Callithrix jacchus: one gene and its partners. The protein of the gene in region 1 binds, or shares a complex with, the protein of each later gene. Links are inferred from orthologs where the notes say so. Each region holds a gene or a part of one and is shown in the gene's direction. Other genes may lie near its edges.

Evidence for each region.
Region 2: CHTOP (region 1) and SARNP share a complex: the UniProt entries of both Homo sapiens proteins name them as parts of the transcription/export (TREX) complex. The link is inferred for Callithrix jacchus from reciprocal best matches to the Homo sapiens genes CHTOP and SARNP.
Region 3: CHTOP (region 1) and THOC6 share a complex: the UniProt entries of both Homo sapiens proteins name them as parts of the transcription/export (TREX) complex. The link is inferred for Callithrix jacchus from reciprocal best matches to the Homo sapiens genes CHTOP and THOC6.
Region 4: CHTOP (region 1) and THOC7 share a complex: the UniProt entries of both Homo sapiens proteins name them as parts of the transcription/export (TREX) complex. The link is inferred for Callithrix jacchus from reciprocal best matches to the Homo sapiens genes CHTOP and THOC7.

Annotation. Positions count from the first base shown.
Region 1 is NC_133519.1:14,062,849-14,067,035, forward strand, and holds part of CHTOP (chromatin target of PRMT1 protein), read left to right. Parts: intron 1-493; coding exon 494-680; intron 681-1,483; coding exon 1,484-1,621; intron 1,622-3,363; coding exon 3,364-3,569; 3' UTR 3,570-4,187. UniProt on the Homo sapiens protein: Plays an important role in the ligand-dependent activation of estrogen receptor target genes. May play a role in the silencing of fetal globin genes.
Region 2 is NC_133510.1:63,833,306-63,839,595, forward strand, and holds the start of SARNP (SAP domain-containing ribonucleoprotein), read left to right. Parts: upstream 1-2,288; 5' UTR 2,289-2,301; coding exon of another isoform or gene 2,302-2,337; intron 2,338-4,365; 5' UTR 4,366-4,411; coding exon of another isoform or gene 4,412-4,418; exon of another isoform or gene 4,419-4,445; intron 4,446-6,290. Other genes in the region: ORMDL2 (ORM1-like protein 2), read right to left, coding at 547-698, 867-1,040. UniProt on the Homo sapiens protein: Binds both single-stranded and double-stranded DNA with higher affinity for the single-stranded form. Specifically binds to scaffold/matrix attachment region DNA. Also binds single-stranded RNA. Enhances RNA unwinding activity of DDX39A.
Region 3 is NC_133513.1:5,169,837-5,175,917, forward strand, and holds THOC6 (THO complex subunit 6), read left to right. Parts: upstream 1-2,324; 5' UTR 2,325-2,606; coding exon 2,607-2,645; intron 2,646-3,630; exon of another isoform or gene 3,631-3,649; coding exon of another isoform or gene 3,650-3,688; intron 3,689-3,804; coding exon 3,805-3,920; intron 3,921-4,021; coding exon 4,022-4,086; intron 4,087-4,160; coding exon 4,161-4,264; intron 4,265-4,348; coding exon 4,349-4,386; intron 4,387-4,463; coding exon 4,464-4,512; intron 4,513-4,614; coding exon 4,615-4,686; intron 4,687-4,773; coding exon 4,774-4,876; intron 4,877-4,965; coding exon 4,966-5,015; intron 5,016-5,109; coding exon 5,110-5,172; intron 5,173-5,268; coding exon 5,269-5,379; intron 5,380-5,462; coding exon 5,463-5,597; intron 5,598-5,675; coding exon 5,676-5,756; 3' UTR 5,757-5,848; downstream 5,849-6,081. Other genes in the region: TNFRSF12A (tumor necrosis factor receptor superfamily member 12A), read left to right, coding at 74-129; HCFC1R1 (host cell factor C1 regulator 1), read right to left, coding at 1,147-1,282, 1,515-1,643, 1,757-1,813, 2,129-2,223. UniProt on the Homo sapiens protein: Component of the THO subcomplex of the TREX complex which is thought to couple mRNA transcription, processing and nuclear export, and which specifically associates with spliced mRNA and not with unspliced pre-mRNA.
Region 4 is NC_133516.1:45,609,869-45,615,373, reverse strand, and holds part of THOC7 (THO complex subunit 7), read left to right. Parts: intron 1-1,408; coding exon 1,409-1,526; intron 1,527-2,596; coding exon 2,597-2,724; intron 2,725-3,007; coding exon 3,008-3,094; intron 3,095-4,701; coding exon 4,702-4,759; intron 4,760-5,505. UniProt on the Homo sapiens protein: Component of the THO subcomplex of the TREX complex which is thought to couple mRNA transcription, processing and nuclear export, and which specifically associates with spliced mRNA and not with unspliced pre-mRNA.

The DNA of each region.
Region 1 (4,187 bases):
AGTCACAAGAACTCAAGTAAACTTGTCGTTTAAGTTTTGCCCAGAGTGTGATGAACTCTTCCTTTGGTGTTTGAGTAAGCCTTTGAAGACAGTGCTAGTTGGTGGGCAGGTATGAATCAAGTCGTATCATTGTCAGCCTGTAGTTCAAAAGCAGTACAATCCAGATTGAACTATAGAAATGTTCTTACTAAAACTTTGAACTGGCAGTGTATGACTTCTGTAGCCAGACTAGTGAGGTAATTTGTGGAGATGTCCATTTCATGAGACCACACTTGAGCTTTTTGAAGTTTCAGCTCTGGATCAAAATTCTGCTTCTTGTCTAACATGTTCCGAGGCAAAGGCTTGCTTCTGGTTTGGGGTCCTTATGACACCACAGCAGGTTTATCTCCCTTCACACCAGCATCTCACTTGCTGCTTTCTCTCTGCACTTTGAGTTGCTAGATCCTGTTGGATTGCTTTTTTGATCTCAATCCCCTAACACCTTTTCTTCCAGAAGAGCTTAAAGCAGCGCCTGGGTAAGAGTAACATCCAGGCACGGTTAGGCCGACCCATAGGGGCCCTGGCCAGGGGAGCAATCGGAGGACGAGGCCTACCCATAATCCAGAGAGGCTTGCCCAGAGGAGGACTACGTGGGGGACGTGCCACCAGAACCCTGCTTAGGGGCGGGATGTCGCTCCGAGGTCAGTGCTGTGTACCCTGATAATTGTCAGGCCCTACTCCCTTCCCTTTTCTCTTGGGCTGCTTATGGACACGTTCGTTTAACATCTTTAAGCCTGAATTTGTATGACTATAATAACTTTTGAAATCACATATTTTTAATAGTGCTGCATGTCTTTTATCGATACCATTCCTTTTCTGATAATGTGCAATGGTGAGAGGCTATGACCTGCGTAACAACAGGTAATTCATGTCATCTCCATTCCATTTTGAAACACCCTGCTGCTGCTTGAATCAAACCACATTCAAGTAATAGAAATAAGTCAAATGTAAGAAACTTAGGTCTTTTGGCCTATGTCTTCACTCTTTGTTCCTGGTGCTAGTAAAACACTGATACAGCTGGAAAAAGAGGACAAGTTGACCCATAGCACTTACCTGTATATGTTTATTTGGGGCACTCTTACTCTGTTCCCTGTATAGTTCTTGCTCCCTAGAAGAATGTGTTGAGATCAGGAACCATAGCATTTATTTTTAAATTTACCACAATGCTAGACATCTGATTGTTTAGTAGATATTTATTGAATATATGTACTTATTAATTGAAATAATTCCCAACTTCTTCCAAAAATGGATTTGTGGTCAGATGTGTTGAATTGATTGGATAAAGAGCAGCTTAACCTGTTCACACTCAGTATGCAGCTTGCCCCAACCAACCTAAAAACTAACTGAATTACCCTCATTTAACCCTCACCTCCTACCTTTGGTTAGAATCTACTTTGTGTCTCTTGGATTTACCTGCATATACATTGTATGCCTCCTCTCCAAGGTCAAAACCTGCTCCGAGGTGGACGAGCCGTAGCTCCCCGAATGGGCTTAAGAAGAGGTGGTGTTCGAGGTCGTGGAGGTCCTGGGAGAGGGGGCCTAGGGCGTGGAGCTATGGGTCGTGGCGGAATCGGTGGTAGAGGTTAGTCAGCTACCAACTTCAGAGAGTAGCTCCCTCTTATTTTCCTCCCTTAAAAACTCAGAGCCACCTTTTTGCACAGCTTCAAGTCATAGGCAGGCTTCTTTGTTTGTCTTGTTTTGTTATTTGAAACTGGCTTATTTTTCAAATTCCCATGCTGGTAGTGCAAAAGTCTCATGATTTTTCCAGGAATCAATCAAGTGCATATTACAGAGCCAGATTATATGCTGTCTTCTTCCTGGTTCTTGCAAATTTAAATTGTACAGTTAAAAATACCCCCTAAAATGGTCAGTTTAGGATTTTACCTTCCTGTCTCAGCCCCACCACCACACACTACCCTGTAGCTCCAAATCCTGGTTTGAGTCACATGAGAATATAGAAGAGAGAGAGATACAAAGATGGAGCAGAGTTAAGAGGGTGGTGAGACTTGGAGCTGGGCATTTGCTCTGAAACCAGATAAATTCAGTGTCAAATTTGTGCCTGTGGAGAACCAGAGATGACTTTTTTTGCTTAAGGTAGAGAGCAAGATGGAATTATTATCAGTTAACACTGGCTCTTGTTCATCTTGCCTTTGAAATTTATTATGTTTGTCTCATGACCGTGACCCAGATTAGGAAAGAGTTTAATGGTGTTGCTACTAATACTAAATCTCATGGGAGCGCTCTGGTCTAGAGCTCAGTGGGAAACTCCCAACAACACCTCATGGGAGCCCTCTGGTTTAGAGCTCAGTGGGAAACTCCCAACCACACCTGTCAAGGAAAAAAAAACACTCTTGTTGCTCCTGTGTATATTTGCTTTGGTTCTCTTAAAAGGTGTTGCAGGTCTTCCATAACTAATGACCTTGAAATTGCCAAGGAATAATAACTGTTAGGAAAGAAAAGCTGATAACCAAGGGCTTGTTTTCTTCTCTCCTGTTATATGCTACTTGGCTTATTGAATGAAGTACAAGCTAGTTTGCGTTTCAGGATAAAATAGCATGTTTGCTAAGTGAATTCAAACTACTTCTCAGATAAACAAAATTGTCCGTTGTCATAAGGTAACTAGAATTAGAGGTAGAAATAGCTGGGGCAACTCAAAATATTTTTTTTTCTTATATTTTTTCTTTCTTTTTTTTTTTGAGACGCAGTTTCGCATGTTGCCCAGGCTGGAGTGCAGTGGCTATTCACAGGCGTGATCCCACTACTGCAAAATATTTTTTCAAGTCCCTTCCATTGTTCCTCTGTGAGAAAAACTCCAGTCTCCTGACACATGAGGTCAACTAGCTTATTAGACTTGATAAGTTTAAAGAAAGATGAGATAACGTTCCAGAAGGGTTTCTGATAAACTTAATTTGAAAACCATCTTACTTTACACCCTGATTATCTGTACCCTTGTTACCACCTGCCTATCTTACTAAACAAGGTTATGTATTTTAATTATAAACTTAGTGAATCTCAAATCTTAGGTTCAGTTAAGGTTTTCTTTTTTAACTATAGTTGTCAGTTAATTACTTTCCTTTTTTGATAGAATAATAATTGTTCAAATAGCATTTAGAGATGATCCTGTGACAAGGGATTCATTATGTGTGCTTTCCATGTGTGGCTTTCTACCCAGTGTCTTTCCTGTTTTCCACATTTCTCCTCTTTCCCTGCCCTTCAGCTTTTCTCAGCTAGGCCCTGCAACTCTAAGGGGCATTTACTATAGCACCTATTAAACTTATTTGTAACTGTCTCTCTTTTTTTTTTTTTTTTTCTCCTTTGGGCCAGGTCGGGGTATGATAGGTCGGGGAAGAGGGGGCTTTGGAGGCCGAGGCCGAGGCCGTGGACGAGGGAGAGGTGCCCTTGCTCGCCCTGTATTGACCAAGGAGCAGCTGGACAACCAATTGGATGCATACATGTCGAAAACAAAAGGACACCTGGATGCTGAGTTGGATGCCTACATGGCGCAGACAGATCCCGAAACCAATGATTGAAGCCTGCCCACCCTGCCATGAGAGACTCTTGTTAGTCCACACGTCTGTAAATAGCCTTGAGATAACAGATGAGAAGAAATCTGATTGATGCTGGATGGACCTATTACAATAGGCTATGGACTTACTTGCCACCAGCTTGTGCATTTAGTGTGTTCCTTTTACTTTTTGATACTGTATTGTATGAAGCCCTTTTGTCCTTTGATTTGGTTTTTTGTTTTTGTTTTCTTTTTCGGGGGTGGGGTATTTTCCCCTCCTGTACCCAGACTTCTCTTTGAACACAAATGCATTAGCCTTGTGGCTAGAACACCCTCTTCCTACCTCTGCCTTCCCTCACTTGTCAGATGCTCTGACATGCTAACATTTCTTTTGTTGATCTCTGTTGCCCCCACAGAAAGGTCCCAGAAAAAAAAGTGTTCCTCCCTGATGCTTAGATTTCTGAGGTAGGGTTCTGTCACATCCTCTTCAATAGCCTCTTTAAAATGTTAAGAAAGTCTGGAGCTCAAAGATGCATTCTTCCACATTGATAATTTAGTAAATGAGCACATTGACATCACTACAGGGCAGCATAAGAGGTTGCTTACATGTGATAGCAGCTCTGATTTGGTCAAAGTTGCTACC
Region 2 (6,290 bases), on another chromosome or scaffold:
GCAGTGCCCTGTTCTTTCTCTTCTATTTAAAATGACCAGTTTTATTGTATGTAGTCCTAAATTATCTTAAAAATATTCCAGCTATATCAATAGCGTTTACTCTGGGGTTCATAGTACCTTTAACTGGAGACTATAAGTCAGTTTCTGTTCATTGTTAATGACATGGCAAATGACAGCTGAGGCTAGTTCAGTCTGTGTGACTGTTAAGAGTCTTCTTTGCTTCCACTCCCTACAGTGTTTTTGAAGATTAATATCAGTTCTGCCTTTATTTGCTTCTTTTGGCAGTGTAAAATCATTTGGTTTTACTTGGCTCTTATCTTAGTCCCTTCATTTCCTTACTACCAAGGAGGCAGTAAGGAATGCTTGATTACAGTATTGTCTTCTACATTTTATTGCTCTCTGTAGGCTTAGAACTAGTATATCATAATATCTTCAAAGGGTTTTAGATGGGTAGCCTGCTTTTTAACAGCTTCCCTATGGGCCTTTCTGCCTGGCTCTTGGAACTCTTTCTAACCCAGCATATCCCCATTTCCCTCATAGACTCACAGCACAATAGGAGAGATGCTCAGGAACTTGCGAGAAGAGGTAAACTGGAGCCCATAGTCCATTTGTTCCCAGTGTGTCAGTAGCCGAGCCTTTCCTTGGTCAGGAGTCTCAAAGGGTGTCCCTTTCACCGTATGAAGGAAGATATACATAGCCTGGGAACATGGAGGGTGGTAGTGTGAGGGGCAGAAAGTAGTTCTTCAGTCCAAGAATGATGTTAAGATCCCAAAAGGAAGATACAAATCCCCAAACAATTAGTAATTTTATTTTGCTTGTGGTTGGGAAACTCTGGGATGGGCACAAGGGCATGGTTTACTGCTCACCAGGTTGTGGATGACGTTGGTCAGGGTCCAGACAACAGGAATGCTGAAGAAAGGGATGCTGAGTAGAACCATATGTAGCAGTCCTACCAAGATGACGTAGGCCAGCCAGATGCCTCGGCTATTCATCACTCGAGTGTTGGGGTTTACTTCGCTGTGTGCCACCCCCACATTCATCCTAGTCATAATGGGGGATCAGGTAGGGTCCAACTCATTTTTTTCTCAGCCCCTCTTCGAGCTTTCTCCCAGCTGTCTCTCAGATTCCCTGAACTCTATTGGGAATGAAGAACTTCCCCATCACGCAGAAAATAAAAACTGAAGACTTGGGGAAAACTTTAAAAGGCAAGAAGAATCCTCACTACATTTTAGAGACATAGTCATTTTCTCACTGATCTTTACGTTTCAACTGTAACATGAAGGTGTATGCGTAGGCTTGGGGCACTCACTTCAGGGAGCAAGGGAAACAGGAAATCTCACTTTCCTGAAGAAGTTAACCATGAAGAGGTCACGCACACCCAGAATTCCAGGAGAAAGTCATGGAATCATCAAAGAACCACTAAGAAGGGATGACAGAGTAAAGCTCTAGTCCCAACCTGTTCTCTGGGGCTTGTCCACCCTGTCTCACCTCCGTGGCATGTCAGCAGTCAGCATCCCCACTGCTTCTCTCAAGCGTGGGGCACGACAACAACTTGCCCACGCCTTCTGGACTGGGTTAGGAAGGAACCTGAGCTCAACGTTTCGAGAGATGGAGCCTTAGCTCTGACTCCAGGGGCGGCAGTGATCAACTGAACTCGGATCTTTAAAATTGTGGTAGCTCTAAAGCTGATGATGTCTGGTTAGGAAGCGGCTCTTGCCCGCCCCAGCCACCCGCCAGTTCCTTAAGCCCGCCCCATTCCCTCCCAGCTTCCTCCTCTCATGTTCGTCGGTTTTTTTCAGGGCTCCCTTCAGCATTCGTTTCTCAGCATTTAAGTCACCGCTTCCTCGGCGCCCCTTTCGCCTCCCACCATATTTCCTTAGCAACCTTTCTAGTCCTCGCGGCCCCTACCTGCCAGCTTCAGATCCCTGTCTGCTTATGGGCGAGGCGCCGGCTACCACATCTGAAGTCTCCAGGAAGTGACTCCTCTCCGTCTGCCCCTTCCCTATTGGAGGAACATAATCAGCGGTTGGTGATATGTGATGCAGACGCACAATTGGTTGCCATTTCTGTCGTTCGTAAGATAAGTGCCCGCCCCTCTCTCTGTCCCCCCTTTTGAAAGAGGTGGGGAAAGCTGCCGAGAGACATGAGGGACGTCAGCTATTGACCAATGGGAAGAGCTGATGGTATGTAGTGGGAGCAAGAGTGGCAACGATTGGTCAGCCTTGCATCTCTACGCCTAAGGCGGGAGCTCCTGGAGGCGGAGGCAGCGGGTGGGGGCTTAGCGGAGTGAGGGGTAACAAGATGGCGACCGAGACGGTGGAGCTCCATAAGCTGAAGGTACCGTAAATCGGGGAAGGGCTCAGTTGGACTTTTCTGGGAACTGAATTCTGCACAGTGACTTGCGTCTTCTCCTACGTGTTCTCCTTGCAGCCTTTTCTACTTTGTTTCTTGGCTCCCGCCGTAGCTCTTTTGTGCCACCCTTCCACACTACGCCTTCCCTAATTTTCCATTTCTCCTCACGGTTTTACTGCTATATTTTTTTGTTATTTCTGTTCCCTTCATCCTTGTATCGTCCGTCACCCTTGTCCACCAGGTTGTAAGTGCCTTCTACCTGTTATACTCCTCGTTGCTCTTCTGGTCTGCATTACGTCAGTTGGTCCCTCCTCTTTGCCCCACGTCGGACCCAGGATCCCTTTTTCTTCCCTGGAATTATGTTTCCAGTCTGTCTTCTGAAGCTGAGACTCGCCTATTATATTAGCAGATGGTGGCATTTTTGTGTGTCGCTATTTGAATAGATCCCAGACACTCCCCTTTTCTAGGTGGGATTACGCCACCAGGGAGAATTTTGAAACCAGGGAAAGGCCTCACCTTAGAAGCCTGGGGTTGAGGAGGCCTTGAGATAGAAGTACAGACACCTCAGATTTAAAAGTTTTCCAGTTCTCTCACGCGGTTCTCCACTTGCCAGCCTTCCTCACACACCGTCTCCTACCACCAGAGAGAATTCATACCTGCAGTATTTGGGAAAAACAGTTCCAAGGTTAAGATTATCTCTGTTCCATTTCATATCTCAATGGGCTCTGCATCTCCTGGTGTTTTACCATTGGGTGACACTGAATCACAGAAGCTATTTTAAATTGTCTTATGAGAATCTTGGTAGTTTTCTCATACTTGGATTATTATTTTCCTGAAAGAGAGAGTATTTATTTAAGGTAGATTGCAAACAACTAAGAGAGATAAAAAAGTTAAAAAATATATTAAAAAGAAAATTTCAAAGAGTATTTTCTTTTAGGGTAAACTAATCTTGATTAATTCTCTGTGGTTTCACAGGTAGATTTCCTATTGGATGTTTTGGACAAACCAGGCTGATACAGCTGAAACTGAAAAGTGATCCTTTAAAGCTTGAAGTGTTTTTTTGTTTGTTTTTGTTGTTAAGAAAGCTTAAGGGTAGGGAGAGGACCTTTGTTTAGTCACTTATTAGTTGACCCCTATTAGTCTTTCTGTGAAAGCTGATATTTTTCTTACTCTTGGATTCTAAACTCTGTTTAGTGGGTTTTTGTGTTATTCTCAAGTTATTGTTAACTTGGTGGTACTGAAATGCATAGACTATCAGTGGTTTCCTGATAATTATTGTGATGAGTAAAAGAAAAATTGAGCAATAATCTCCACTTGGTGTATATATACTGTACTTATAGAAATTGTATGCTTCTGTACCATTATAAAACATAGAAAAGGAATTTTTGAATGAGACAAAAAGGAACTATGCATAGAAGACTTAATATTTTCTTTCTATTTGTCTTTTTTTTTTTTTTTTTTTTGAGACAAAGTCTCACTGTGTAGCCCAGGCTGGAGAGTGCAGTGGTGGAGTCTCAGCTCACTGCTCCCTCCACCTCCCAGGTTCAAGCGATTCTCCTGCCTCAGCCTCCTGAGCGGCTGGGACTACAGGCATGTGCTACTATGCCTGGCTAATTTTTATATTTTTAGTGAGATGGGGTTTCACCATATTGGCCAGGCTGGTGTCGAACTCCTGACCTTGTGATATGCCCACCTTGGCCTCCCGAAGTTCTGGGATTACAGGCATGAGCCACCACACTATTTATCCTATTTTTGAAATCCCTGGAGTAAGTCACCAGCTGCCCCATGACTTACTTGTTTTTATAATTGTGTTTGTTTATGGAGTTCCTCCTTCCATCAAATCTGTGTTTGTCAGATCTATATTAAACTTGTATTTGACTGGATAAGTAACTTTTACATAAAGTCCTCTGACCTGATTTCAGTGTTGCAGTCTAAGAAAACATTAGGCACTCCTGACAGCCTAAAAAGGACTCACTCTTTAATCACATTTGCTTGTCTTTGCTTTTTCTCTAGAGCACTTCTTAACCTTTTGGAGGTCACAGATATCTTTGAAACTCTGATGAAAGGTATGGACCCTCTCTCGCCAGAAAAAGGCATGTACACGTACTTTGCATGCAGTTTGAGGGGCTTCATAAAACTACCTTGTAGCCCTGAGGAGTCCATGGACCTCTGGTTAAGAACTCATGCCTTCGACCAGGCATGGTGGCTCATGCCTATAATCCTAGCACTTTGGGAGACTGAGATGGGTGGATTGCTTGAGGCCAGGAGTTGGAGACCAGCCTGGGCAACATGGCGAAACCCCACCTCTACTCAAAATGCAAAAATTAGCCAGGCATGGTAGTGCGTGTCTGTAGTTCCAGCTACTGGGAAGGCTGAGGCACAAGAATCGCATGAGCCCCGGGGTGGAGGTTGCAATGAGCCTGGATTGTGCCACTGCTCTCCAGCCTGGCGGACAGTGAGACTCTGTCTCAAAAAGAAAAAAAGAACTCATGCCTTTGATTCTGATATTTAGGACGTTTATGTTTGGTTCCACTGGTGATCTTGATGTAATGATCCTGACTTCTAGGTTGACTTGAGGTTTTATTGCCTTTAAAAAAAAATCTTGGCTGGGTGCAGTGATCCATACTTGTAATCCCAGCACTTTGGGAGGCTGAGGCCAGGAGTTTGAGACTAGCTTAGGCAACATAGTGAGACCCTGTCTCTACAAAATATTAAAAAATTAGCTGGGCATGGTGGCGCACACTTGTAGTTTCAGAGCAGTGACTGACACCTGTCATCCCAACATTTTGGGAGGCTGAGGCCAGGAGTTCGAGACTAGCTTAGGTAACAATAGTGCGACCCTGTCTCTGCAAAAGATTAAAAAATTAGCTGGGCATAGTGGTGCACACCTGTAGTCCCAGCTCCTTGCAAAGCTAAGGTGGGAGGATCACTTGAACCTGGGAGGTTGAGGCTGCAGTGAGCTGTGTGATGATTGCTCCGCTGCACATCAGCCTGGGTGACAGAAGGAGACCTTGTCTCAAAAAAAAAAGAAGAAAAAGAAAAAAAATCTGTCCATTGTCATTAAGAGAATTTTGGGCTTTGGTATGGAACCTCAGAGGAATGGAATATGCTTTGAAGTAGGAAGGAAACATAGTATCATGTATCTGAATTGATACATGACATCATTTTAGCAGCAAATTCCTGAGAATTTTGTAGAAACCCAGTCTTTTTTTTTAATTGAGATGGAGCCCTGCTCTGTCGCCCAGGCTGGAGTGCAGTAGCTTGATCTCAGCTCACTGTAACCTCCACCTCCCAAGTTTAGTGCCTCAGCCTCCCTAGTAGCTGGGATTATAGGCATGTGCCTCCATGCCAAGCTAATTTTTGTATTTTTAATAGAGATGGGGTTTCACCATGTTGTTGGCCCGGCTGGTCTCAAACTCCTGACCTCTGGATTATAGGTGTGAGCCACTGTGCCTGGCCCATTCTAACACAATTGGAAAGAGAGATTGAACTGTGGGTGAAAATGCCTTGAACTGTAACAGTATCAGATTTCCAGTCAAATATCAGAAAAAAAAAAGTATTGAAGAGGGGAGGAGAGCTGTAGTAATGTCAGAGTGCTGAAAACAGTGAGACATTTGTATTGAATAGTAAAATGAGTAAATATGTTGGTAGTTGAAGATAGTTTGGAAAGGAAAATAGGTAAACTAACCATAAAGGTAAATCAGAGTGGTATTGAAAAGGGCTTTCTAAGTTGTGTAAGGATTTCTGACCCTTGTCATGTAATGATAAGTAGGGCTGGGACCCTTTGGAAGTTTGAAAGGAGGAACTTAGGGGCCGGGTGCAGTGGCTCACGCCTGTAATCCCGGCACTTTGGGAGGCCGAGGTGGGTGGATCACGAGGTCATCAGATCGAGACCGTCCTGATCAATATGGTGAAATCCCTTCTCTACTAAAAATACA
Region 3 (6,081 bases), on another chromosome or scaffold:
GCCCCGGCCTCCCCAGCCGCATCATCACACGACCTTTCCCCTGCCGTTGACGACCCCACCTCTTATCTTGCAGCCCCCATAGAGGAGACCGGTGGAGATGGCTGCCCGGCCGTGGCCCTGATCCAGTGACAATGCGCCCCCTGCCAACCGGGGCTCGCCTACTCATCATTCATTCATCCATCTAGAGCCAGTCTCAGCCTCCCAGACGTGGCAGGAGCCACTCCAACCACAGGGGGGTGGGGGGTGGTGAATCACCTCTGAGGCCTGGGCTCCTGCAGGGTTCAGGGGAGCCTTCCAAGGTGTCTGGTTGCCCTGCTTCTGGCCTCAGAACAGAAAGGGAGCCTTAAGCTGGCTCACACAAACAGCTGACACTGACTAAGGAACTGCAGCATTTGCACAAGGAGGTGTCCTCCTCCCTAGAGGCCCTGGGGGCTAGGCTGACTTGGAGGACCGACAGACACTAGGCCCCACTCACTCAGACGTCCTGAAATTCCACCACAGGGGTCACCAGCCTGGGGGGTTAGGGACCTATTTTTAACACTAGGGGGCTGGCCCACTAGGAGGGCTGGCCCTAAGATACAGACCCCCCCAACTCCCTAAAGAGGGGAGGAGATATTTATTTTGGGGAGAGTTCGGAGGGGAGGGAGAATTTATTAATAAAGGAATCTTTAACTTTAAATGGTTTGGAGAGGCAGTGATCCCCGACTGACTCCCCTGAGCTGGAGGGAGGGAGTGAGTCAGCCAGCCACGGGGGCGGGGGTGAGGCTCTGACTCACACATTCTCAATGCCTGGAACTCAGCCGGCCAGGACCTGGCTGGCCCTAACAGTTTTCCAGGGAAGATCTTGAGGAGAAACCCCAGCATCCTGCACCTCTGCCCTCTCCACCATCCCCAAAAGCCCCAGGTTCCAGTTGGAAGCCTTTCTTTGCTCAGAAATCTTTATTCAGTTCTTGGGGGTGGGATGCCTCCCTGCCCATGCTCCCACCCTCTCATCCCAGAGCTCCATTGGGCTCAGAGTCCTCTGTTGAGGGAAGGTCTTGGTGCCTGGTCTGGAGGAGAGGGAGGCTCCTTGTCCCTTTGCGGGAGTCGCTGGTCTCTTCTGTTGTGGGGACGAAGGAAGCTGGGAGGGGCGCTGTCCACTAGCACTCAGAGCTCCATTATGTCCCCAGCTGGGGTCGAAGGGTAGGAGGGACTGGGGATGTCCCCCAGCCTCAGCAACCGGAGGGCTTCAGGGATGAGGCTGCCAGGGTATCGCCAGAGAAGCAGCTCAGAGCAAGAGCTCCTAGAAGAGGAAATGATAGTCGGCAAGGGGGCTGAGGCGGCCTAACTGAGCACCTCCCACCAGGTCCAGGTCCCCAGGGGCTCCCGGGTTCTCAGCACTTTCCAAAGAGCCAAGATGGGAAACAACCCAGAGGTCAGCTAGAGCTAAAAATGGCACGATGAGGCAGGGCCTGAGGTCAGCTCTGAGAACCGCCTGTGATCCTGCAGAAAGCCTGGCCAGTGGAGGAGCCTACCTGAGTGGGGGCAGGGCCGGGGGGAAGGTCATAGGGGGGCTGCAGTAGGGGTGATCATTGTGCAGGCTGAGTTGAGAGAAATGGGTGGCCATGTTCTCCTCAGACAAAAACTGCTTGCGCAGAGGCTCCCTGGGGAGAGATGAAAGAGAGGGAGGCTGGGAAACTGAGACAGGAGACAGCGTGTTGGGGACCAGAGGTGACAGAGATCTTGTTGGGAGTCCCTCCCTGCCCCCCAAACTCACTGCTCCTCCTCCAGGCGCCGCTTGGTGCTCAGGGGCACAGCTCCTCGGAGAGGGGAGCTGGGAAAAAAAGAGAGCCTGGTGCACCCCACCCTCTTGGCCCCTTCCCAAGGATCTGCCCGCCTGAGCCTGCAGCATCAGCCAGGAGCCCCAAGCCCATTCCTGTCTCAGGTGGTGCTTGTCCCCTCTCTTCTGGGCCATCCAGCAGCGTACCTCGAAAGTCTCGACCTTGAGCCGAAGACCCAATCCGGTCTCAGTTTACACCTAAGCCCCGCCGATTCGCCCTACACCGTGTCCATCTGCAGACCAGCCCTGAGCACCCAGCCAAAGCTCCTGCGGCCCTTGGTCAGGCCCACCCTGGTCCCCTACACGCACCTAGCGTCCAGGCCGCGAGTCACCCCCAAGGCGGCCCGCGGGAGGCGCTGGGCCCCACCCTGCGGGCCTCGCTCCAAGGGCTGCTCCAGGATCATTGGGTTTTGGGGTCCTGCGGGTGGGATCTGGGCGACGGAGGCGGAGTCTCTGAGGGCGTGGCCCAACGCGAAGGGGTGTGGCTTTAGGCGTGCGCAGCTGCGAGGTTCTGCGCGGGCGCGGAAGACGTGGGGCGCGTGGCGGAAGGCGGGCCTGTTCCTCGGGGTGGGGGAAGGGATCGGCTTAGCGGAACTGCGGTGGGCGTCACTTCTTAGTGTCGGGGGTTTTCGTGGTGCTCACCTCGGCTCCTGGGGTTCAGTACAGTACGCAGCAGTCACCTTCGCGCCGAAGGCGGCAGGGCGCCGCGAGGAGTAACCGCTCTAGGAACGTACGGCATCGTGAGATTGCGTTGCGCGCGAGCACTCTGGGACTTGTAGTTCTGGAGATGGAGCGAGCTGTGCCGCTCGCGGTGCCTCTGGGTCAGGTGAGACGGACGTGGTGCGCGGTGCCTTCTGGGGTTTGTAGTCCATGCATGACTTGGACAGGGCGGGCAGGGAATAGTGCCCCGAGCCCTGTTTTGCTAGGGCTGTTTGTGGGACTCAGATTATGACCGGGTCGGGGGGTGGGGCGGGAAAGTAACCAATAAGGCCTCAGGGGCTTAACGCAAGTCAGAGAATAGGGATTACAAGTCAGTACGTTTTTCTATGTTGGGGTAGTAGAGCCACTTTTTTTTTTTTTTTTTTTTAAATCGGGCTGGTCTTGAACTCCTGACCTCAGGTGATCCACCCACCTCTGCCTCCCAAGGTGCTAGGATTACAGGCGTGAGCCAGCGCGCCCAGCCGAGCAGAACCACTTTTTAAACACTTTTTTTTTTTTTTTTTTTGAGACCGAGTCTGTCCCCAGGCTGGGGTGCAATGGTGAGATCTCGGCTCACTGCAACTTGTGCCTCCCAGGTTCAAGCGATTCTCCTGCCTCAGCCTACAGAGTAGCTGGGCCTACAGGCATGTGCCACCACGGCCAGCTAATTTTTGTGTTTTTAGTAAAGACAGGATTTCACCATGTTGGCCAGGCTGGTCTCAAACTCCTGACCTCAGGTAATCTGCCTGTCTTGGCCTCCCAAAGTGCTGGGATTACAGGTGTGAGCCACCGTGCCTGGCCAAATTTTTAAATTTTTTTTTTTTTGTAGAGATAGAGTCTCACTATGTTTCCCAGGCTGCTCTCGAACTCCTGGCATCAAGCGATCCTCCCGCCTCAGCCTCCCAGATCGCTGGGATTACAGGCTTGAGCCATGGCACCTGGCTTAAGCACTGAGTGACAGCTTTGTGCAAAGCTCTGTCTATACACTAGCTCATCTAATCGTGACAATCTCCTGTGAGCTCCATTTGAAAGTTGAGGAAGCTGGTAGGAGAGGCTTGGGTGTTTGCTCAGAGGTTCATGAGGCGTCACACCTCAACTCTCCCCTTCTTCAGTGTCTTCTTGGAGCCACCTATGGGACTGCATGGGCAGGTGCTGGCTGCTGCAAAAGAGGTCTGAGAAGTCAGGACAGTGGGAGGCCTGGCAGGTGTAGCGGGGAAGCAGGGAGGAGTCTGTGGATGGGAGGTTTCAGATGTCCCAGGCAGGCCTCATCCAGTCTTTCCTTGCAGGCAGAGGTGTTCCAGGCCTTGCAGCGGCTCCATATGACCATCTTCTCCCAAAGCGTCTCACCGTGTGGGAAGTTTCTGGCAGCTGGCAACAATTATGGGCAGATCGCCATCTTTAGGTACCCTCTGCTGCCGTCCACCCATTAGCCCTGGCACTTGGTCTTCATGGGACAGATGCCCCTGTTTCTGACTCCTGGGTCCCCTCCATTGTCCCCTGCAGCTTGTCTGCTGCTTTGAGCTCGGAAGCCAAAGAGGAAAGTAAGAAGCCGGTGGTGACTTTCCAAGGTGGGTCTAGCTGTGGAGTCTGGCTTCGGGGCTTTGGGTGGGATCGGCTGACTTACTTCCGGATTTCTCTTCAGCCCATGATGGGCCGGTCTACAGCATGGTCTCCACAGATCGACATCTGCTCAGTGCTGGGGATGGGGAGGTGAAGGCCTGGCTTTGGGTGGAGATGCTCAAGAAGGTAAGGAGTGAGGCTGGGGCAAGGGCTGGGGTACCCAGACCCAAAAAGGGCCTTTGAGGTCGCCTCATGTTTTTCCTTTTGAAGGGCTGTAAGGAGCTGTGGTGCCGTCAGCCTCCATACAGGTGAGCCAGGGCCACGTGGATAGAGGGCGCATGGGGGTGAAGGCACTCCCTCACTTACCCTGACTTTCCTCCCCCAGGACCAGCCTGGAAGTGCCTGAGATCAATGCTTTGCTGCTGGTCCCCAAGGTCTGAGCCCCATGTGACTGTTGTTGGTCCAAACTTTGATTCTTCACTCTCTGCCTTTCCTGATTTGACACTGACTTCCTGCCTCACCCTCCTCCTTCACAGGAGAATTCTCTCATCCTGGCTGGGGGAGACTGTCAGCTGCACACTATGGACCTTGAAACTGGGACCTTCACGGTGAGCAGGGGCTTGGAGCCCTAGAGCAGGTCCAGGCCAGGGAGAGGCACTCTTCCTAGATCTCCTCACATTGCCCCTCTACTGCAGCGGGTCCTCCGGGGCCACACAGACTACATCCATTGCCTGGCATTGAGAGAAAGGAGCCCAGAGGTGCTGTCGGGTGGTGAGGATGGAGCTGTTCGACTTTGGGGTAAGGAGGTGGCTGGCTGGAGGGCAAGATGGCAGTGAGGGAGGCTGAGGCTCGTGGGGCACTACTTAGGGTGGGTTCTTTCCCTGCAGACTTGCGCACAGCCAAGGAGGTCCAGACAATCGAGGTCTATAAGCACGAGGTGAGGGTGTGACCGTGGCCATTGTCCTCTTTCCCAGAAACTCCTTTAACCCTCTAGGACTTCACCTCTTTCCCTCCTCCCCTTCCCCTCCCAGGAGTGCTCCAGGCCCCACAATGGGCGCTGGATCGGATGTTTGGCAACTGATTCTGACTGGATGGTGAGCTGGGCAGACTGTGGGACAGGTTGGCAGCTTCGGGCCTTGTCGGCTGTCGGCCTGTAGCTCACAGCTGGGGACTCCCACCTTTCTGTCCAGGTCTGTGGAGGGGGCCCAGCCCTCACCCTCTGGCACCTGCGATCCTCCACACCCACCACCATCTTCCCCATGCGGGCGCCACAGAAGCACGTCACCTTCTACCAGGACCTGGTGAGTCCCTCTGTCTCGTCTGCCACCCCCATTGGCTCTCCCCTCCAGCCCTGACCCCTGAGCACCTTCCTTGTCCTCTGCAGATTCTGTCTGCGGGCCAGGGCCGCTGTGTCAACCAGTGGCAGCTGAGCGGGGAGCTGAAGGCCCAGGTGCCTGGCTCCTCCCCAGGGCTGCTCAGCCTCAGCCTCAACCAGCAGCCAGCCGCGCCCGAGTGCAAGGTGGGTCTGGTGGCAGGGGCCTCAGGCGGCTGGGAGGCAGGGGAATGGGCAGGCCAGTCATGCCCCTCTCTCCTCCAGGTCCTCACAGCTGCAGGCAACAGCTGTCGGGTGGACGTCTTCACCAACCTGGGCTACCGAGCCTTCTCCCTGTCTTTCTGACCTCTGACCACACCCCCAGCCAGCAAGGGTTTTAGAATGTTTTTCTTTTTCTTTTTTTTTTTAACAATAAAGTTTCAGGCTTTTCTTCCATACTCGCTCTTTCCACGAATGGAGGCCAAATAGGTGGCGTGATTTACATATTACTCTCTCCGATCTTGATACATAAATACCCAGCCCCATCCCTGCCTTAGAAATACCCCATAAATCCCGGCCCTGGAGAAGACAGACCTATATTGATTCGGAAAATCGACAGCTGTTCACCTGCCCCTGCCACCCACCTGGAGCTTCTGCCCCAGAAAGCTGGCTCCGCTCCCGATGAGCCCTT
Region 4 (5,505 bases), on another chromosome or scaffold:
TTTTAAAAAAAAAAAGTGCAGTTTTCTAACACCTTTCCCAACAGTTTTATCAGATGTTTTGATTTTTGCTTATCTATTAGGTGAAAAATTATATTTTACTGTGGTTTTAATTTGCCTTGCTCTTGTTATGATCCAGGATTATTTCGTCTGGGTAAGAACACTAGCTCAGGACTGCCAGGCAGATAGATTGGGACCTCACTTGTTGGTCATCATTGTCATCTACACTGCTTTTTTTTTTTTCTTTTCCTTGGGGCAAAAGTATTGTTTAAAAAAAATTCTCATGGGGAAAGAAACCTTACAGATAACTAAATATATATGTAATACATACATATGTATATAATATGTATATATATAATACATGTATATAATATGTATGTATTATATATAATATGCATTATATTATACATATTTATATTTGTATAAATAATATATTATATAAATAATGTATTATATAGTAAATAATATATGTTATATATAAAATAATATAAATATTTGTAAATTATAATATAAATATATAATATGTTTATATATTTATAATATATGATATATATAGTATTTGTTTTGGAAACAGCATCTTGCTTTGTTGCCTATAGGCGCTGGAGTGCAGTGGTGAGATCATGCCTCACTGCAGCCTTGATCTCCTAGGCTCAAGTGATCCTCCTTCCTCAACCTCCCAAGTTACTGGGCCTAATAGGCACGTGCCACCACATCCAGCTGATTTTTGTTTTTTGTAGAGTCAGAGTCTTACTGTGTTGCTAAGGCTGGTCTGGAACTCCTTGGCTCAAGTGATACTCCTACCTCAGCCTCCCAAACTGTTGAGGTTACAGGCATGAGCCACCACACCCAGCCTTAAATTATATGTTTATTTAACAAATTCATTCCTTTTTCCCTGACCTATTCTTTTTTCCTAGTTTGCCACTACATCTTTTAAATATTTCTTGTCTATTCATTTTATCAGTGCCTTTCACTGGCCAGAGACATAAATATTTGGATTTCTGTCTGTCTGGGCAAATTGTTTCACAAAAGTTTTCTAAGAATTATTGGCTTATTTCCTTGATTGTATCTGAAAATTATTTCCACTCAACAACCCAGTAGACTGCCAACTCTGTAAGGATGTCTTTTCACTGCTATTATTTCAGCCCCTAGAACAGTACCTGACACACGGTAGTCATGCAATAACGTTTTTTTCCATTACTATATAAATATTTTTATTATATGCAATATAAAACATGCATAACATAAAATTTACCATTTTAGCTAGCCATTTTTAAGTGTACAGTTCAGTGGCATTAAATACATTTGCATTTCAATAATTTTCTTTTGAATAAACAATTGAACAGTGATATTGGTTATTTGTATTTGAAAGTTACCAAGAGCCAGATGGTAGCATTGCTCTTCTTTCCTGCAGACGAAGTCATACGGAAGCGTCTCCTCATTGATGGAGATGGTGCTGGAGATGATCGGAGAATTAATCTGCTAGTGAAGAGTTTCATTAAATGGTGCAACTCTGGGTCCCAGGAAGAAGGGTATTTTATTTCACTGTTGTTTCTATACCCATGTCCTAATGTGATTTTAGACCATACATTAAGGTCCTGTGAATAGATCAAATTTTTATTCACCTTAAATGTCCAGTGGAGTCAACTCTTAATTAAGAGTAGATTTTCTTGGCCTTTTCTTTTCTTCAGAGGCCTCCCATATGTTTAATAAACATAGAGAAGGCAGATTGGTAAGGAGAAATGAAGATTAAATTCAGACCCATTAGGATATAAGTGTTTAATAAGTATATGTATGTAGTAAGTTGGCACAAAAGTAATCATGGTTTTTGCCAATATCTTTAAGTTTTGCACCAACTTGATACATACACACACACACACACAAAATCTTTTTTTTTTTTGACGCAGAGTCTCATTCTATTGCTGAGGCTGGAGTGCCATTGTGCAGTCTCAGCTCACTGCAACCTCTGCCTCTCAGGTTCAAGCAGTACAAGTGCCTCAGCCTCCCGAGTTGCTGGGATTATAGGCATGCACCACCATGCCTGACTAATTTTTGTATTTTTAGTAGAGATGGGATTTCACCATGTTGGCCAGGCTGATGTTGAACTCCTGGCTTCAAGTAATCTGCCCACCTTGACTTCCTAAAATGCCAGAATTACAGGCATGAGCTACCATGCCCAACTGTATGTATGTATTTGTGTGTGTGTGTGTGTGTGTGTATATATATATATATATATATATATATATATATATAGTAAACTTTGCTTTTCACATAAATAATTTTATAGAGTAAATTCTGGAGACAGAATTGTGAAGATAAAAAATTCATAATGTATTTTAAACAAAATGCAAATAATTATTTGAATAAAGCATACACTGATAAGAACAACAGTCTCATCTTTGCATGTGTAACTAGTTTATAAATTCAGGTGTGCTACATTTGATAAAAAGAAAACTTAAGGAACAGATATTCTGAATTATTTTAAATAAGCAAATGACTCTCAAAGAACTTATTTAATTAGCAAATATTTGCCTGCATTATAATAGTTCAGTTTTGTCAGTCTACAAACATCTTTATTTTGGTTTTCTCTCTTTCTCATTAGATATAGCCAGTACCAGCGTATGCTGAGCACACTGTCTCAATGTGAATTTTCAATGGGCAAAACTTTACTAGTATATGATATGAATCTCAGAGAAATGGAAAATTATGAAAAAATTTACAAGGAAATAGGTAAAGAATATTAATGTTTCTATCTGTAATTTTATTTTGTATGGTATAAAGGAAACAATATCTGCTAACAATTTTCTTTGGTTGGTGGTAAAAGAATAATAATTACAGTATTAATAGAAAGAATACAGCAAATGTTAGCTACAAAAATATGCATTCTAATATATGGTACTTTAATACTAGTGTCTATTTTGTTAGCAATAGAATTTAATTTATAAATGCATTTTAAAATTGAACATGGATTATTGATATTGTTACAACTAAGTTTTAAAACCTTCTTATATAGAATGTAGCATTGCTGGAGCACATGAAAAAATTGCTGAGTGCAAAAAGCAAATTCTTCAAGCAAAACGAATACGAAAAAATCGCCAAGGTAAGAGTTTTGAGGGATTTAATATGCAAATACTTTATTACTGACTACTATTTTCATGCAATTTTTAATGTTGTGAGGAAAAATCTTCAGCAGCCTGAATCAACCTGGATTTTTAAAAATTATCCAAATTTAATTCTTTAAAACTATGTTATTCTTTAAAATAGAGAAAGAAGTCTGTGTTGAAAAAAATGTTTTTGCTGGATTACACTGATTATCCAAGTATTTCTTTTCTGTTTTTCTCCTTTTGTTTTTTTCTTTTCCCAGTATTTCTTAAGCATTAAATTTTTACCATCTTGGAGCTTTTTGCCTAAATAATGTAATAGTTAATCAGCAGAGGCAATTTACATAAATACACTAGATATATGATTTGGGTTTTTTTGTTTGTTTGCTTAATAGAGCTACTTTCCAAAAAATGAATGAAAAAGAATTTAAACTCTGTGAGTTTTCATTAACTATGAAGCAAGCAAATATTTATAGACTATCTAGAATATCTAATAAGAAAGTTAAAGTTGAGTTTTGTTATAATCTCTTGTTAAGTTAGAGTATGTTCTTATGTAGTTCCTAAATGCTGTTTCCAGATAATTTTTAATGTTAGAGGCACTACTCCTATAATATAAATTGAAGAAAAGCAAAAATAAAAATCATAATTTATAATCACAACTGTTACACTGATAGGAAAAACTAGAAGAAAATAGAAAATGTTAGTGGTTATTTTGAAGTGGTGGGTTTTTATGGCTTAGGTTTTCTCTGGTTTTGTTTTGTTTTATTTTACACAGGACATGTATTCTTTTGTAATTCAAAAAAATTGTATTTAAAAAAATCATACTTTTATTGAATTAATAGCATCAGTTCTAAAACAATGAATTGTACTTTTTAATTAACTAGTTAAGATGAAGATTAATTTCCTCTTTTTAAAAGTTTATTTTTTCAGTCTAAAATGTGTGTGGTGAAGTTTTAGTGCCCTATTTACAGTAAGATATACCAACTTAGTATCAGTTCTAAAGTCATTTAAAAATATTTTGCAGTGTTTTTGTTAGTTAATGAGACTTTTAAGTAAATCTTGTCATTCATCACTTCAGAAGAAAGGTTAACAGGAGTTACATGACTTATCTTGGAGGTCTCAGTGGAGCAGAAAGTAGAACTTGAATTTTAAGTTATTTGTAAGTTTCTGAAATCTTAACTTTTAGAATGAGTGAGAAGTGTAATTTGCTGTTGACTAACATCTCAAATTAATGGATGGATATATTCACTGATTTTCTTCTTTTTTTTTTTGGACAACTAGTGAGTAAGATCCTTCTCAGAATCAGTCTATTTGATAATCAGTAATAACTTAAGTTCACTTATTTTTATGCTGACCTCTTATGTTCTGTCCAGAACATATAAATGGAAAAAAAGTGCTGAAGTTTAGGGAGCTAAAATCCCTGTTTAGAACACTTTTGATGTTATGTGTCATTATAGTTATAACTCAGTCAACTAGAACTGGCAATACTCATCTTTCAATGATTTCATTTCTTGATGTACTAGGGAAGTGGTTAGGAGAGGCTTGTGATATTACACATTTTGTTTTGATAAGCCCTTAGTTTGATAAACATTTTTATGTCTTTCAGAATATGATGCTTTGGCAAAAGTGATCCAGCATCATCCAGACAGGCATGAGACATTAAAGTAAGTGTAGAGCTTTACTTTGAAAGGAACTAACCTTTATACATAAATGCTGATACACTACCCTAGGCATTTCATTTTTGCAGAAATAAATATGTTTCAAAAGGAGGGTTCAGGTCTTCGATATTATATTTCCCAATACTTCTCTGTTAGATTTTATTTTCCTCTGACCTTACCACCTATATGTCTAAAATAAATGCATGTAATATGGACAAATAGAGTGGACAAATAAAATGTGGTCTTCATATATTAAAATATTAAATATCAGTTAAAAAGAATAAACTAGGCCGGGCGCGGTGGCTCACGCCTGTGATACCAGCATTTTGGGAGGCTGAGGCGGGGGAATCATGAGGTCGAGAAATCGAGACCATCCTGGTCAACATGGTGAAACCCCGTCTCTACTAAAAATACAAAAAAATTAGCTGGGCACAGTGGCGCGTGCCTGTAATCCCAGCTACTTGGGAGGCTGAGATGGGAGAATTGCCTGAACCCAAGAGGCGGAGGTTGCGGTGAGCTGAGATCACGCCATTGCACTCCAGCCTGGGTAACAAGAGCGAAACTCCGTCTCAAAAAAAAAAAAAAGAATAAACTAGTTTTGTACTGTTCAAACACACTCCTCAAAACATAATCAGTGAAAAAACATAATAAATTTAAAATTATTATTAAATTTCTGAAACACATATAGAATAATAACAATTTATAAAAGTTAGAACCCCCTTTCAAATATTATATACCAATACTGTATATTA